Saccharomyces cerevisiae S288C: one gene and its partners. Changing the gene in region 3 together with the main gene of any one other region gives a genetic interaction. Each region holds a gene or a part of one and is shown on either strand. Other genes may lie near its edges.

The links.
Region 1: mutations in PFK2 (region 3) and RKM4 together harm fitness more than expected from each alone (negative genetic interaction), as found in Saccharomyces cerevisiae (2 studies listed by BioGRID).
Region 2: mutations in PFK2 (region 3) and CHS1 impair growth when combined (synthetic growth defect), as found in Saccharomyces cerevisiae (2 studies listed by BioGRID).

What each region holds. Positions count from the first base shown.
Region 1 is NC_001136.10:969,490-973,133, forward strand, and holds RKM4 (ribosomal lysine N-methyltransferase), read right to left. Parts: upstream 1,986-3,644; coding exon 501-1,985; downstream 1-500. Other genes in the region: CTA1 (catalase A), read right to left, coding at 1-191; chaperone ATPase HSP78, read right to left, coding at 2,319-3,644. UniProt on the Saccharomyces cerevisiae protein: S-adenosyl-L-methionine-dependent protein-lysine N-methyltransferase that monomethylates 60S ribosomal protein L42 (RPL42A and RPL42B) at 'Lys-55'.
Region 2 is NC_001146.8:274,854-280,397, reverse strand, and holds CHS1 (chitin synthase CHS1), read right to left. Parts: upstream 3,897-5,544; coding exon 501-3,896; downstream 1-500. Other genes in the region: YNL193W (uncharacterized protein), read right to left, coding at 4,354-5,544. UniProt on the Saccharomyces cerevisiae protein: Polymerizes chitin, a structural polymer of the cell wall and septum, by transferring the sugar moiety of UDP-GlcNAc to the non-reducing end of the growing chitin polymer. Required for mitotic division septum formation during adverse conditions.
Region 3 is NC_001145.3:670,043-676,420, forward strand, and holds PFK2 (6-phosphofructokinase subunit beta), read right to left. Parts: upstream 4,725-6,378; coding exon 1,845-4,724; downstream 1-1,844. Other genes in the region: INP1 (Inp1p), read right to left, coding at 21-1,283; YMR206W (uncharacterized protein), read left to right, coding at 5,854-6,378. UniProt on the Saccharomyces cerevisiae protein: Catalyzes the phosphorylation of D-fructose 6-phosphate to fructose 1,6-bisphosphate by ATP, the first committing step of glycolysis.

The DNA.
Region 1 (3,644 bases), on a different chromosome or scaffold from region 3:
ATATTTTCCCTGTTGAAATGAGCCAAAGAATCAATTAAGTTATAATCTTGCAAAAGCAAAGGGCCATGTTCCCCAATACGTTGGGTGACAAATGGTTCATTGATTGGATTACCAGTGGAGTTTGTCACAACTCTATCCTCTCTTACATCAGAGTAATTTACTTCATTTTTTTCTTGTCCCAATTTCGACATCTTCTAGGGTTCCAAATTTATTTGTAAGTACTATTATATTTATTTAACTTACCTTTTAAATAAACCTACAAGAAATTCAAATGTACGATTTGGACATTACAGTGAAGAATGCTTTCTACATCTCTTTATATGTATGGCGATATCAAAACTGGTTGTTTCTCCAATTCTGTCACTGTGGGGATTTTCGGAGTTTATATTTGTTAAAGCCGTCCTTTTTCGGATTAAGGGACCCCACCAACTTGCGCGGCTAATTCCGGCCAACTTTTTGCATTACTAATTGCGGCTTTAAATAGTGGTTAGAACAACCGCTCACTTCTTCACGCAAGGACGTTTGACAGAGCTTTTTTCTTCCTCTGTCAACTTTCTCTTTAAAATATTAGTTAGCAGCTTTTCATCAGGAATAACCTTGTAATTCTTGTCGATGGTTTCTTCACAAACTTGCAGCGAATCTATTTCGCTTTTCAAAACTCTCCGAGCCATAACATCTCTTAGTTCTTCCCTTGTTAATGAGTTTCCTTTCGAAGGTTTTTCGATAGAAACGCACTTTTTTATGGGGTAATCGGCTAGACGCTTCATAATACAACGTTTCCATGTGGCACTACAGTTTGTAGTGGCGCGGGCACCTTCTATCAATTGTAAACACTTCTTTACAATTCTCTCCACTTGCCTTTCCATTGCTTTTATGTCCAGTTTGCATAAACCTGGAATTTGGCAAAGAATTGTCAAGATTTGGACCAAAAGTATTAGTTGAGGCAACAATTCACCATTATTATAACAATCATATGAATCTAGTACTATTTCTTCACCTTCTAAGAATTCTTGAATATTGGCGTTATTGCGTAAGATATCAATACACCTGTCCAAAAATTCAGTATTCGTCTCAAAAGTCTCTTTTAACGCCTCGACAATATTTTCAAGTAACACTTCTCCAAAATCATACTTCGAACCGTCCCATTCAACATACCCATATCTTCTTAGTAGTTCCGAATTTGGATGTTCTCCGTATATGTTGTACACTTGTTCATTCTTTTCAATATCCCTCAAAGCAACCATCTTTAAACAGTTAGAGTCGTAAGTTAAATTAGCGTTGCATTTACTGGTATCTGCATTCAACATATCAGCAAGTGGAATCATCGATTTCAAGTAGCGCTCATTTTCAAGTTCTTCTTCACTGGTTTCTTCTTCTTCATTTTCATTTACACTACTATCTTGCATTTCCAAATCAAAGGAGTAACTCAATATAATGCTTGCAATATAGGCAAAATTATCAAACTCGAAGGACGTCGCTACACGTGAAAATTCTCCACCAATTTGTTTGATTGATTTAATAATTCTTTCATGCATCTCTTTGGCTTCCTTTTTTCCTATTCTTTCAAGGACAAGTGATGGTTTTAAAAGTTGCAGTTCATTATCATCCCAAAAAATTAACGCGTTCATATCGCTTGGTTTGTTCCAAACTTTAAAGTAAGGCGCCCATCGGCTTCTTTCTTGCAAAACTTCCATCTCATAAAGTATACAGATAATTAAACCTTCCCACGATCCGGTTTCGTTCAGGAACTTATCCTTGAGAGAAGGATAATCCTTTATCAGTTGAGATGTTGTAACGCTTAAAACAGAACTACGAGGTATTTTAAACAATGTTTCATCCTTCTTAATCTTTTGAGTGGCAACTACTGCGCGGCCTTGATTATCACAACAAAGATCTTTGATTTCTATCTTAGGGGATACTTCAATTTCAGCGGTAGTTTTTAACCAGCAAACAAAGTTTTCGGTATCTCTTGAAAAATCATCCATTTTCGCAAACTTTCCCCTTTATTACTAGTCATATTGAAATGATCGTATTAAGCTTTTACAAAGGTAATGAAATTTTTTCATACTCGAGAGAAAAATATGTGACACATGTGTGTATTACCCGCAGTAACTCTCGAAGATTACATTTGAATAATATCAATACTTCCAGACCAATAGCTTTATTGTATTGCCAGGGCACTTGGTACATGTAACATTCATCCAGTTTATTTGATACCAAAAATCTTTTATTTTAATTCTTCTATTTACAAAAGAGAAATGTGTATGTTTATATATGTATTTTCTTGGGAATTTATTATTCATAAACCGCTTGTGCAGTTACTTTTCAGCTTCCTCTTCAACAACTTCGCCTTCTTCATGATTTGGTAGCACGACAAGCTTAGTATCTTTAACCACCACTCTAACAGTTTCGCCGTTTCTAATTTGACCTTTTAATAAGAAAGTTGCCATGGAGTTCAAAATCTGTCTATGAATTAATCTATTCAATGGCCTTGCACCATATAATTGATCGTAGCCTTTGTCAGTTAGCCAATCCTTCGCTTCATCAGTTAAATCAATTTTCATTCTTTTTTCGGCCAAACGATCTTGAATTTCTGCAATTCTAATATCAACAATTGACCTCAAAACTTTCTTGGATAGCCTATTGAAAACTAGAATATCATCAATACGATTGATGAACTCAGGTGGATAGGATCTTTTCATTGCTTCGATAACTTTATTCTTGGTTGCGGTGTCAATCTTACCATCATCACCCAACTTTGTGTCGTTTAATAAAATATCTTGTCCAATGTTTGAGGTCATCACAATGATCGTGTTACGGAAATCAACATGATGGCCTAGGGAATCGGTCAGCTTACCTTCATCCAACACTTGCAACAGTAGTTTGGAAACATCGGGGTGCGCTTTTTCAAATTCATCAAATAAAACGACAGCATAAGGCTTTCTTCTGACAGCCTCAGTTAATTGGCCACCAGATTCGCTTAAGACGTAACCTGGAGGTGCACCGATTAAACGAGAGACAGTATGCTTCTCTTGAAATTCTGACATGTCAAAACGAATCACATTTGATTCGTCATCAAATAGGAATTCAGCTAAAGCCTTGGTCAATTCTGTTTTACCAGTACCAGTAGGACCTAAGAACATAAAGCTGGCAATAGGTCTCTTTTCACTGGTCAAACCAGCCCTTTGAAGACGTACAGCATCAGAAATAGCAGCAATGGCCTCGTCTTGGCCAACGACTCTTTCTTTTAAAGAATTTTCCATATACAGTAGGCGGTCCTTGTCGCCTTTCATCACCGTTTCTGTAGGAATACCAGTCATTTTGGCAACAACCTTAGAAATATCGTCAGAAGTAACTGAATCATGAAGTAAATTTACTTTATCTCCGTCCTTACTCTTCTCGCTTAAAGCTACCTTCTTCTCCAAGTCAGGAATTCTGGAATATCGCAACTCGGATGCTTTAGTGTAATCACCCTCTCTCTGACACTTTTCCAACTCAATTCTTGCTTGTTCCAAATTTGCCTTAGCATTTTTGATAGATTCAATTTCAGCTCTTTCAGCGTCCCATATTTTTGTTAATCTGTTTAATTCATCATTTTTCATTTCTAGGTCCTTTTCCAACGCTTCTCTTCTTTCCACGGAAAC
Region 2 (5,544 bases), on a different chromosome or scaffold from region 3:
CAAATTTCTTCAAGGCTTCCGGATCGTTACCTTACTCCCAAGCAATAAACGTGAAATCTGTTTTGTATATATATTTGCAGCTTTTTTTCTTTTGTTCTTTTTCTTTTTTTGGAGATGCGTCTTAAAAAGCGCCACAGTTTCAAGGGTCCGGCGGATAATTTGAGCAATGATAGTATGAAATGCCAGATTACTGTGTATTAAATAATACTTCATGAATTTGCGAATGAACCACTTTTTTGAAAGTTTATGGATATAGATGTGCACATGTCGTTTTTTGAGCTTTGGGTGTTTAGAGCGGAAGAGTTGGTGTTGTGAGTTTCAGTTTTATCAATTATTTATGTTTTTCTCTCAGAAGCCATTTTTTTTTGGTTTTATGGTAAAGGCACCCTTTAAAAATAATACTAAATGTTTCTTTGAAAAATACCATACTTACAACTAATTAATTATTATATGATAGTAAACACATATACTTATTTATAACAAAGGGGTAATCAATCTACTTAGCGAAATGTAACCTTTTTAAAAAACCTTACTATCATGTATATTGAGCAACCAATGAACCTTATTAATGCCGATAATGCAACTAACCATAAAATTACATTAAAATAAATTGAGGCCTTACTGGTCATTAAGGGAATTTCCGCCTTCTTTGCAGTTTCTAAAGTGTCATCAGTTGATATGGATTTCATAGCAATATAATCTGCAATCCCACCGGTTTCTAAGACAACAGCAACGATGATGAAATTTGTGATGACCCAAAAGATAATCACGAGAGATCTAACGTTTGCATAATAGCCAGTCTTTTTTTCATCATAAGATGGCTCAGTAGGCCGAGATTCTGATTTTGGATCGAAGTCATTTAAAACTTTCAAATATTTATCGTAGTTTGCTTGAATCTCTGAACTAGAGACCAGAACTTCCATTTTGAACGTACCATCTTCTGTAGTATTAATCTTACCCAGCGGATTTGCCATTGCACCCTTTGTACCCCATGATAAGTCGTGGACATTACAAAATGCATAGATATTCAAAACATTGATGTAAGAAGGACTCAATAAAATATACTGAATAAAACTTGTCAACATATGCCATGGCTGCAAATAGATAATTGAACTGATTAGGTACAAACAATAAGTGGAGCCCAGAGAGATAACAATATCCCTGAAAGCTTCTGTGGTAATCAAACCCTCAAAGCTGATGGTATCGTTTTTCAATATATTTTGGAAGGATTTGACACTCATGAATATACTGCAGAATATCATGTAAATCATCATCACCGCAAAAATGACGCAAGTTAGAACATAAAATTTCTCAGTACTTTTAGGTTTATTACCCAATGACAGTATGAATGTTGATAAGGTACAAATCCCATAAAGCCACAGGAATATGACGGACAACACATTAAATGCTGAATGGTATGCCAGTGCAATAGAAACAGTGAGAATTCTAAAGACTAGGAAAAATGAACTCAATGAAAACCATGAAATCAATGTATTGAAGAAAAGGTAAAAAAATTCAACCGTCAAAAGGAGTTTTCTACCAATATTATGACCACTGCTCCAGACTCTGTAAAAATGACAAAAGGAATATACACTAGCAAAAAATGAACCATTCAACCAACGCCTCCTCTGAAGAATAAATTCAGGGACCCTCTCCGGTACATCTGTTGAAGCATAAGAACTTCTGCAGTATTTCAAAATCCAATTACAATTTTTTTTTGTGACCACTTCAAAGCATAAAATACGATCTTCAGCAAGATACATATTGGAAGAAAAAAAATGAAAACCTTCATTTTCCATAATTTCACCATAAAAGTACTTCTGTAATGGTTGGCCTCTCACAGCTTCAAACCTATACGCAGAGAATGCCCCCGGTAGAACAGTAATAAATCCAAAGTTAGACTCGGTTGTTTTGTCTAAAATATTGGACATTTTGTATTCGAAATTCTGTGATGCAACTAAAGGATTCAAAAGCTTTACAAATCTCTTACCCAAATCAGTTCTTATTTCACCACATGCGCCACCAACATTTGGATTCCTGAACTCTCTCCATAACTGGTAAATAGAATCTTTACCTGGCATGGTACCAGCATCTAACAATGTAACGATATTGGGACGCAGTAATTCTGCAAAGCCTTCAAATGCCCATCTATGTGAGTTAATTTTTTTCTGATTTTGCTCTTTCAAACAAAACAAAAGTTGTATTGGAACGGTACCTTGATTGCATTCTAATGAAACCTCTGATTCCGAAATATTTGTGATGTTGATCATTGTCGTATGTTCGTAGACATGCATTGCCACTTTTTTTTCATTAATTTCATCCTTAGCAAACCCGTCCTGGTAACAACCTAACGAACTTAGTAATGCTAGCGAGCGTTCATTAATTTTGGATCTACCATCTGAAATGATACAAACGACAATCTTTTTCCATGCATCCGGCCCCCAAGTGCTTGAATTTTTTTTTTTCACCATATATTTGACATTGTCCATAATACCTTTCAAAGTTCTTCCTAACAGGATATGGTCTTCATTATACATTGTGACTACTAGCATCAATTCCGTTTCCCTTGGAGTTAAATACTTCAACTGCCTCACCGTGAAATTCTTCTCTGCAAGTTGATTAGGTTCGCAAGTAACTGCTTGATATCTCATAAACTTAAACTCATTTGGTAAAGTGTTTGCATTTTCTGTTGTAGTAGCGTATTGGTCCAATAGCGTCTTACTGATTGGAGAATCGAAAACAAAATTACCATTCCAAAGTTTGAATTTCCTAATTTCAGTACCGCTTCTCTTTAGTGCTCTATTTGCGGTTAAGTTATCATTGCTTACTATTATGTCGGATTCTTTAGATCCGATAGAAGACACCGAGGATGATGCAGGTACACCATTAGCTTGAAACTGTAATTTATCAATAGTGTTGAGATCATCGTACTCGTCATCCCTTGAAAAATCATCCTTGTCATATTCCCCCAAGTCTCTATGAGAGTAACCGCTTTTCACACTGTCTAATTCTTCTTTTCCATCGTTTACGGGTCTGCTATCATCATGAAGATATTCTCTACGCTCCATAGGAGTCATATGTCTTAAACTGTTTTCATAATCGTAAGGATCAACCATTTCACCGTTTCTACCCAAATATGAATTAATCTGATAGTCATCTCCTCTCTGATCAATATAACCACCCTCCGGATCGTCATAGTAATCTTTTGCCTGTAGGCCATGGTAACCATTGTTGTATCCAAAAGGTTGGTCATGGTATTGAGGAATATTACCGCTATTCATGTTATTGTTGGGTTGCTCCAAAATGGGCCTAGCTTCCTGATCTGCATAACCATCGCTACTAGAAGCAATACTCGGTGACGTCCTAGAGTTCCTGTTATTATAATAGTAGTCGTTTTCGTTAAAGAAGGGCCTTTCGATGGGGGTGGCCATAGTCTGTGAGCCGTTATGTATGAGTTCTGGAGTGGTTTGAATCACATTTATCGAAGGAAGTGGATATGAAGGTACGTTATTGTATTGATGTTCCGACGGTAGCTGTTGACTATTCGTATTAAAAACGTCATTGTATTCTGCAGTTGCTGGTGGGGGACGCTGGCGATGGTGGTTGACAAAACCTCCATATATGTCTCGTTCGTTATCATTGATAGTATTATTATTGCCATCGTCACCGTTATAAAGCATATTTGTTTGCTGAGATTGTTCTGGAAATTGCAAAGATTGGACTGGAGTGAATGAACCCATGCTGGCATTTTGATTGGTATATCTTTGGTTCCTGTTTGTTAATTCTTCATTAGAAGAGTGAAATAGCCCGCTATGTGCATTTTGGAGTTCATAGGAAGGTTCATTCTTCCGGTTTGAGTGATATTCATTTCTCGATCGATTATTTTGATCACTCATTGTATAGTTTTTTTGGTTTGGCTTCCCAGTATTAATTTAGTGACTCTTCGAGGAAGGAAAGAAGAGAGAAGAAGAAGAAGAAATGTATACTGCGTATTTAAACAAGCAGTACTGCAAGGTCCGGTAGGCCTCAAAATGTAAGTGTTCTGATCCTTTGGAGTACCGACGTAAAAAATGAACCCGAGATATATATTAAAATCAATAATTTGTAACAAATATTATACCTAGTTTGGCCAAGAAAATCAAATTTCACACTAATGGCTGTGTCGCGTCATTATCGCGTTACCAAGCCACGCGATTTCTAAAAAAAGACTGCTGGGCCCCGTCTCGGCTTTGTTTCAGAGGTAATGTATGTTTCCTGCATGTATTTACTTGTATCAAATTTCGTTTCACCAAGGGTTCTTGTAGCATATGCGCAACGAATTATCTTCTACTTATGTATATGTACGTAATTTCACTACCGATAGTGGCTATAAAAAGGGTGTTCTGGTGGCATATCGAACGTCATTGCGGTAGGCGAAGCAGAAGTACCGTCATCCTCATTTGACTTCTGTTCCAGCCTCTGTAAGAAAAGTAGTCTTTCCTTGGCTTGATTATGGATATAGTTCCTCTTCAGTTTATCAATAATCGTTTCTTGTAACCCGCACTGTTTTGATGAGATAGCGACAGCATTATTCAGAAAAACGTTAGCGTTTTTCATCAATATGTTTAAAGTATGCGCTCCCCCGGGGGTTTTTTGTGACTTTTCAGTTGATTCTTTTATAGCGTACCTTCTCAGTTCATTATCGGAGGAATTTACTAAGACATCACAAAGTTGAAAAACTACGTGACTCAATTGTTCGTTCAATGTCTGATTTTTCAGAAACAAGATTTGATTTCTATAGTCTGTTAATAAAGTTCTAGCCTCTGTAAGAACTTTGGTCAATAACCCAGAGAGTTTCCAAGATGCATCTGAAGAATAATCGTTTAAACATAGAATGGCAAATTCAACGATATCAACTCTAATCAACGAAAGATCAATCTTACCCTGTACATCTTTTTCATCAAGCAGATCGGTAAAGGAGACGGTTTGCAGAACAAAATCTTGCAATGACTCGAAGGTTCCGGAGCTAATGATGTTCAAACCTTCAATTAAAGTCTTGGCTAAACCGATTTCCTTCAAATCTAATGGAATGGCGGCGGAAATGGAGTCTATAATGTCGCGTAGTTGTAAATAGAATTTATTGGTTGTATCTTCCAAGAAATTAATCTGAATAGGATTCAAGATTTTCGTTTCGACATTTTTTTCAATAGATATTTTCGACTCAATAACCAATTCCATCAAAGCATGGTTGAACTTTAAAGAGTTGGCGAGTACTTCGGTAAGTGAAGACGGAGTCACTTGTTCAGAAACGTCCATAACTTCTGCTGGAGGTTGTACAGGTCCATTGGTTCGGATACCACTTCCGTCCCTGGTAACTTGCATCGCGTCTTCATCCAAAGTATCTCTTTGCAATTCCGTATCTGTGTCATCGGAATCTTGTTCTGCATTTTCACTCCAGTTTTGTAGTTCTTGTAACAGATAATTAACCAGGTGTTGAAAGATTTCAATATACTTGTTTGTCAAAGTTAAAATGTCTGCACCTTCCATTGCAACGGTGGGCGAAAC
Region 3 (6,378 bases):
AGTTATGCTTTGAACTTCATTCAAAGGTCGCCAAGACCAGATATGGATCTCCTCTGAAATCTTCTATGCCTGTCCTGCAGATACGGGGGAGAGTCGATAAAAGGGTATGAACTATATCTTTTGTTTTGCTGTTTCGAATGAATACTTGGGGCTGCTATTGGAATATTCAGTACAGGAGCGGTTCGTCTGATAGCATTTTTGAAAGCTTCATTTATGGAGATTGACACGGCATCGGTAGGGTCGCTCGGATAGAGAAAGCTTGCATTTAGATTAGAGCAAGTGTTCGATATCACGGAGAAGCTATTATCTGTACATCCTTGTTCGTATTCTTCATCCAGCAAGTAATTAAGGTCGTCATCATCATAATTATCATCATCATCATCGTTATCATCATCATTATTAATTATTTCAGTATTGGGGGGCTCTATGTCCGAAGTAGGCGGCAGTTTGAATTTATCGCTCAAAGACTCATTATTCCCAATAGTAGCTCCTTCATTAATATGCGAAAATTGGCAAATTTTGCTAATGACGTTTTCAAAAGCTTTCACACTATTTTCCAACTCTGATTGGGATTGACTAATCAAAGGTAGAAATTCGATTTCCCAGTACCGTTCCGGATTATAAAAGCTAATAAAGTATTTGAAACCTGCGCCATTTAGCCTTGTTATTTGTAGTTTGGGTAGTACTGGATGCACAATATCACCATGTCGTCCTATCGATAAATAGTTTACTACATGCCCATCATGACTACTAGCTTTACTAGATTTTTGAAAGGGCGCTATATTTTCCTTTAACTTATCAAACCCTGTACATATCTGATATATTTCAATAGGTCCTTTTGCCATTAAAGATGTAGGTTTTAACTTAATAGTGTTTTGACTGTCTTGACTTTGCGTATCATTGAAGAATACTCCACTACTTTCAGTGACATTATTTGCGGATACTTGGGAATTTCTACGAATGCAACTGCTATTCGGAATATCATTATGAATGGGAACGAATGAATTCATAACCTGAACATTGCCATAGGTAAACAATGAAAATCTCTGAGTTGATATTCTTTTCCTTTGTGTTCCGGTTTTCTTCGAGGACGTGCCATTTTTTTTGGCTTTAACAGATTTATTTGTATCGTTTGAGTGTTGGGTCGAATCCTGTTTCAACTTTTTATTGTTGCTAAGTTTAAGTGACTGTTTTAAAGTTTGAAACGTAGATTGAGGTTTCTTTTCTTGTTTTGCCGTTAATCTCACGCTATTTTTCTTTGTTTCTCCCCTTGATAAAACCATACCACTTTGTTTAATTTCCTGAGAGTTATCAGACGAAAAATGTAGACCTTGTATCCTTCATAGGTGAAGGAATACTTCCTCCGTAATAAGGTAATTTAAAGTTCATAGTTCATTCACTCTTTTTGTTTACATCTCCGTTCTTCGTGATAAGTTCATAGATAATAAGAGAACAAAGTATTTAACGCACATGTATAAATATTGTATTAAAAGGGTACCTTTATAAATATGAGATCCGAGGGACGTTTATTGGAATTATCTTTTAAATCGTCTATATCACATATTCCAGTATACATAAGTTTTAATTTTAGAAAACGTTTAAATAAACAAAGAGAAAAAAAATAAGACACAAAAAATAACAGTATCTTTATTCTTGACATTCATAAAAATGCATGATAATATTGGTTTCATGGGGTAGTACTTGTATTATTAAAAGAAAGGAACAAAAAATTCATTGTTCAAAAGCTTAGAGATAAAAAAAAAGAATTATAGACACAAAAGAAAAACATGGGTTAACATTAATTGACATTAATAATAGAAAGTGTAATAAAAGGTCATTTTCTTTTAATCAACTCTCTTTCTTCCAACCAAATGGTCAGCAATGAGTCTGGTAGCTTGCCAGTGAATGACCTTTGGCATTCTCATGGAAACTTCAGTTTCATAGTCATACAATTGTCTAATGGAGTTGTAAACGACATGTGAACCCTTAACACCAACGACAGCAGCAGTGTCAGAAATGGTCTTGTCATCAGCGTTGAAGTTTTCTTCGGCAGCACGAGCTTCAGCAATGGCAGCTTGGTTGTCTTTGATGAAGCCGACAGCTTTAATGGCCATTCTAGTGGCTCTTGTTCTATCAATTGGAGATGGCAAACCACCTTGTTGTACATGACCTGGATAAGCTGGCTTAGCGTCAAATCTGCCATCGGCTTCAGCAGTAATAACTTCAGCCAATTTAGTGGCTGATAAAGCCTTAGAAGCGTTTGTACTCTTCAAAATCAATTTACCAAATCTACCTCTACCTTCTGCCTTTTCAAAAGATTGAGCTAAGTATTCAATATCCTCGGACAATTGCTCCAAAGAAATACCTTCTTCTGGGACATAAGAGACTTGAGCACCAACAGCCAAAGAAGCGTAAGTGGCCAAATAGCCTGAGTTACCACCTTGACAATCGACAACGAAGGCTCTACCTCTGGTTGAAGAAGCGGATTGTTTAACAACATCACAGTATTCCATTAGAGCATTCAAAGCGGTATCAGAACCCAAAGAGTATTCAGTACCTGGAACATTGTTAGACAAAGTAGCTGGTATCAAGACCATTGGGATTCTGAAAGCTGGATAACTTTCTCTTGCTCTCTCTAATTGATGTAAAGATTCAAAAGCTTCGAAACCACCAACGATGATCAAACCATCAAATTCGTACTTTTGGAAATAGTAAGCAATCATACCTAGATCTGCTTCTTCTGGAGTGACTCTGTTAGTACCGATTTCAGAACCACCACGGGATTGCCAACCCAACATATCCTTCCAGTTCAAAGAACGAACACTTTCATGTCTTGCCAAACCAGACCAACCATTGTAGATAGCGTATGGTCTGTGACCTTGGGACATACAGTAAGTAGCCATCGAGTAGACGGCAGAGTTGATACCACCAGCTGGAGCACCGACATTAACAATGGCAATCTTCAGTCTCTTGTCCTTTGGTAGCTTTGGTTCGTTGTGGTCAGCAGAGTTGATAGCCATGAAATTGTTTAAATGTTCAATGAACTCAGTGTCTCTTAAAGACATAGCTCTCTTGAAATCCTTAGCTTGAATGGCTTCTGCAACTGCTTTGGTCAACTTGACGGATTCCATTAATGGTTTACGAACAATTTTGTTTTCGTTAACAGCAATCAATGGTGATGGGGTGTCTGGAGTGGATTCCAAAACGGCATTAACGGCCTCAAGACCTTGTAAAGTAGCCAAGATACGGTCGTAAGCAACAGCAGTACCACCTCTTTGAACGTGACCTAAGGTAGTAATTCTTGTATCCAAACCTAATCTGTCAACTAGAACTTTGTGGACGTCGCTTGGAGAAATTGGGGTCAAGTCAGCAGCGATAGCACCTTCTGCAACAACAACAATGGTGGTTCTCTTACCCCTTGATCTGTGCTTGGAGACAATGTCACACATTTGATCTTGCCATTCGCTGGAAGTGGCTGGCTTCTCTGGAATAAAGATATAGTCAGCGGAAGTGGCGATACCAGCTAATAAAGCTAACCAACCACAGTTTCTACCCATAACTTCAACAACGAAAGCTCTTGAGTGAGAGTTGGCAGTGGCTTCAACGTAATCGATGGCCTTACAGATTCTGTCCAAGGCAGAGTAAGCACCAATAGTAGCATCCGTGGTGGACATATCGTTATCAATAGAACCGACAGTACCGCAAATATTCAAATGCTTCATTCTTTCGTATTGTTCGTTGGAAATTCTGTTTGTTTTCAACAATTCCTCGATCAAAGAAGGCCATTCTGATCTAAACAGATCAGCACCAGTCAAAGAACCGTCACCACCACAAACGATCAAAGCATCGACACCGGCCTCAATCAAATGTTGGGCACCCAATAATCTACCTTCGCGCTTCTTGAATTCCATACAACGGGCAGTACCAATGTTGGTACCACCTTCAGCAGACCAACCACGGACGTCTTCCCAGTGGAATTCCTTGATGTATTCTGGACCACCACGAACCAAACCTTCATAACCTTCCATGACAACAAAGGCACGACAACCTTTGAAGATAGCGGAACGCACGATGGCTCTAACGTTAGAGTTCATACCTGGAGCATCACCACCGGAAGTCATGACGGCAATTGCCTTTTGAGGCCTGTTCAATGGCTTTGGCAGAGATGGATAGGTGTCGGTGGTTTTCATACGGTAAGCCAAATCAGTGTAAGAGTGAACTTTAGAGGAAAGACCAGACTCAGCAGAAGCTTCTGGTGCTGGTGGTGGAGTTGGCTTGGTTGAAACTGCGTTCTTAGTAGAAGTAACACCAACAACGTTACCTAATGGGTCCAAAGTGTACAACTGCATTGGAAATAGTTCTGTTGGGTAGCCTTGAAGAGGAGCGTTCATAGCATTTAGAGTGTCCTTGACTGCCAAGATGTCGGAAGTGTTAAATACCAAGGATTGGGTGGCATGTGATCTCCAGTCTTGAGTCTTGGTAATACTGTTCAATTCCTTCAAATGAGCCTCAACATTTTTATTGATTTTTTCATCAGGACGTAGAAGGATCTTCAAAGAGATGGAATCGTTAGACAATAAAGTGGAGTTTTCATCTGGAGAAGAGCGGTTTTCTAATGACAAAAACTTGGTGTAAAAATCTATGGCAGCTTTATAAGATTGAACGGAATATGCAGTGACGGTACAATAAGAAGTACCATTCACAAAAGGAGTAGTAACAGTCATTGCGTATGGTTAGTTCTTGGCCAATGCTAAACTAGTCTCTAAATCTAGTTCTATTGTTCAAATGAGGTATAAGAAAGGCTTTTAAGCAAGAAGAAGGAAAAAAAAAAAAAAAAAGGAATTTTCTTCTTTATGAAACCGAAGATAAGAAGCTTTTAATCAAGGAAGTAATAAATAAAGGACAAAAAGAAGAAAAAAATATTATTGTTTTATAAAATGCAAGTAGGAAAAATAAGAATGAGAGCGGATAAAAAAAAGGCAGGAAAAAAAACAACAACATGAAGCGAGAGACTTCATTGCGATGTAATAAATGAATGGTAGATAAAGACCGGATGGAAAAAAAGGCCGATTTAACATGGCAAACAAAAGATTACATACGTACTGATCAAATTGATCAATTCAATATCTCTGTTTTCGTTTTTAACATTCAACTACCGTCATAGCGTTATACGTAGGAAAAAAAAACCGCAATCACGTAACCGTGGCTTCCACTAATCGGCTCTTGTGCCGTCAGATTCCGGATGTACGGGTGGACGCCATTTGGAACGAAAAAAAGAAATTGAAAAAAGTGGAAGCTAGAAATCACTGTCTTACCCTGGACGGTATCGTATATAATGACTCCGGTTTTTTTTTCTCTACCCCCTTGCCTCTTACCCCGGATTTTACCCAACTTTATCTTAATCTTCGTTTTCCTTTTAGCGTGGAGATGGTAAACGCTAGCGGTAACGTTAACGTTGCAAAGGGGGTATGCGGGACTGGCTGAAACGGGCGATGATACGATGCAACAAAGCAGCAGAGAATGGCTATGAATAGTCTTTACACCCACAGTTTTTCGTGTGGCAGTTACTATATATTAGTAGGATATTCGATCTATATAGATGGTAGTACTTACAATGCTGTTCTTGGGTTTTTGCGGATCTTCTTTCTTTTTTGTAGTTTTATTTTATGTCTTACTTCTTATTTCCTTCTTACTTCCTCATTGGTTAAGGCTCACGTTGATTGCAATAACAAAGAAGTATATACTGTAGCATAGCTCTTCATATCATTTTTGCCGTGCATTCGAAGACTATATATATATATGCATATTGTCTGACCTTTCGCCTTAAAGTAAAGAAGACAACAGAATATAACCATGCTGAGTAGCAGTAGCAATAGACCCATATCTGCCCATCTAACCATCCATTACAAGGCTATTCAGGAGGAAGAGGGGGAGGATATGAGAAGCGGTGCCGGAAGTGGTGGCCATCATGACGACTATTTTCTGGAGAGTAACAGATCTCCCACTCCTAATAAGAAACATGAGTTCATTAAAACGGTGCTCAATATCAACGATAACGACTCTGAATTTTCGGAATCGTGCTCACCAAGAGAGAAGTTACATAACGAGGGGGCTTGTAATACAGACCTGTTCGGGGACTTCATGTCTAAAAGACAACAGAGGCTGTCTAATTCTATGAACATTTACGACCTTTATCAGTGTGTACATAACCTGTCGCCTAGCAACAACAACCATCAGTTCATAGCAAGAAGGTTCAGCGATTCTCATATTCCCTCCTTGCATCACCGCCAGCAGCAACAGAAGGTAACAACAAAAAACTTTGTACAGCCCACGAAGGACATTCAAAGGATCGCCTCGTACGCTGCGGATTCAGACCAG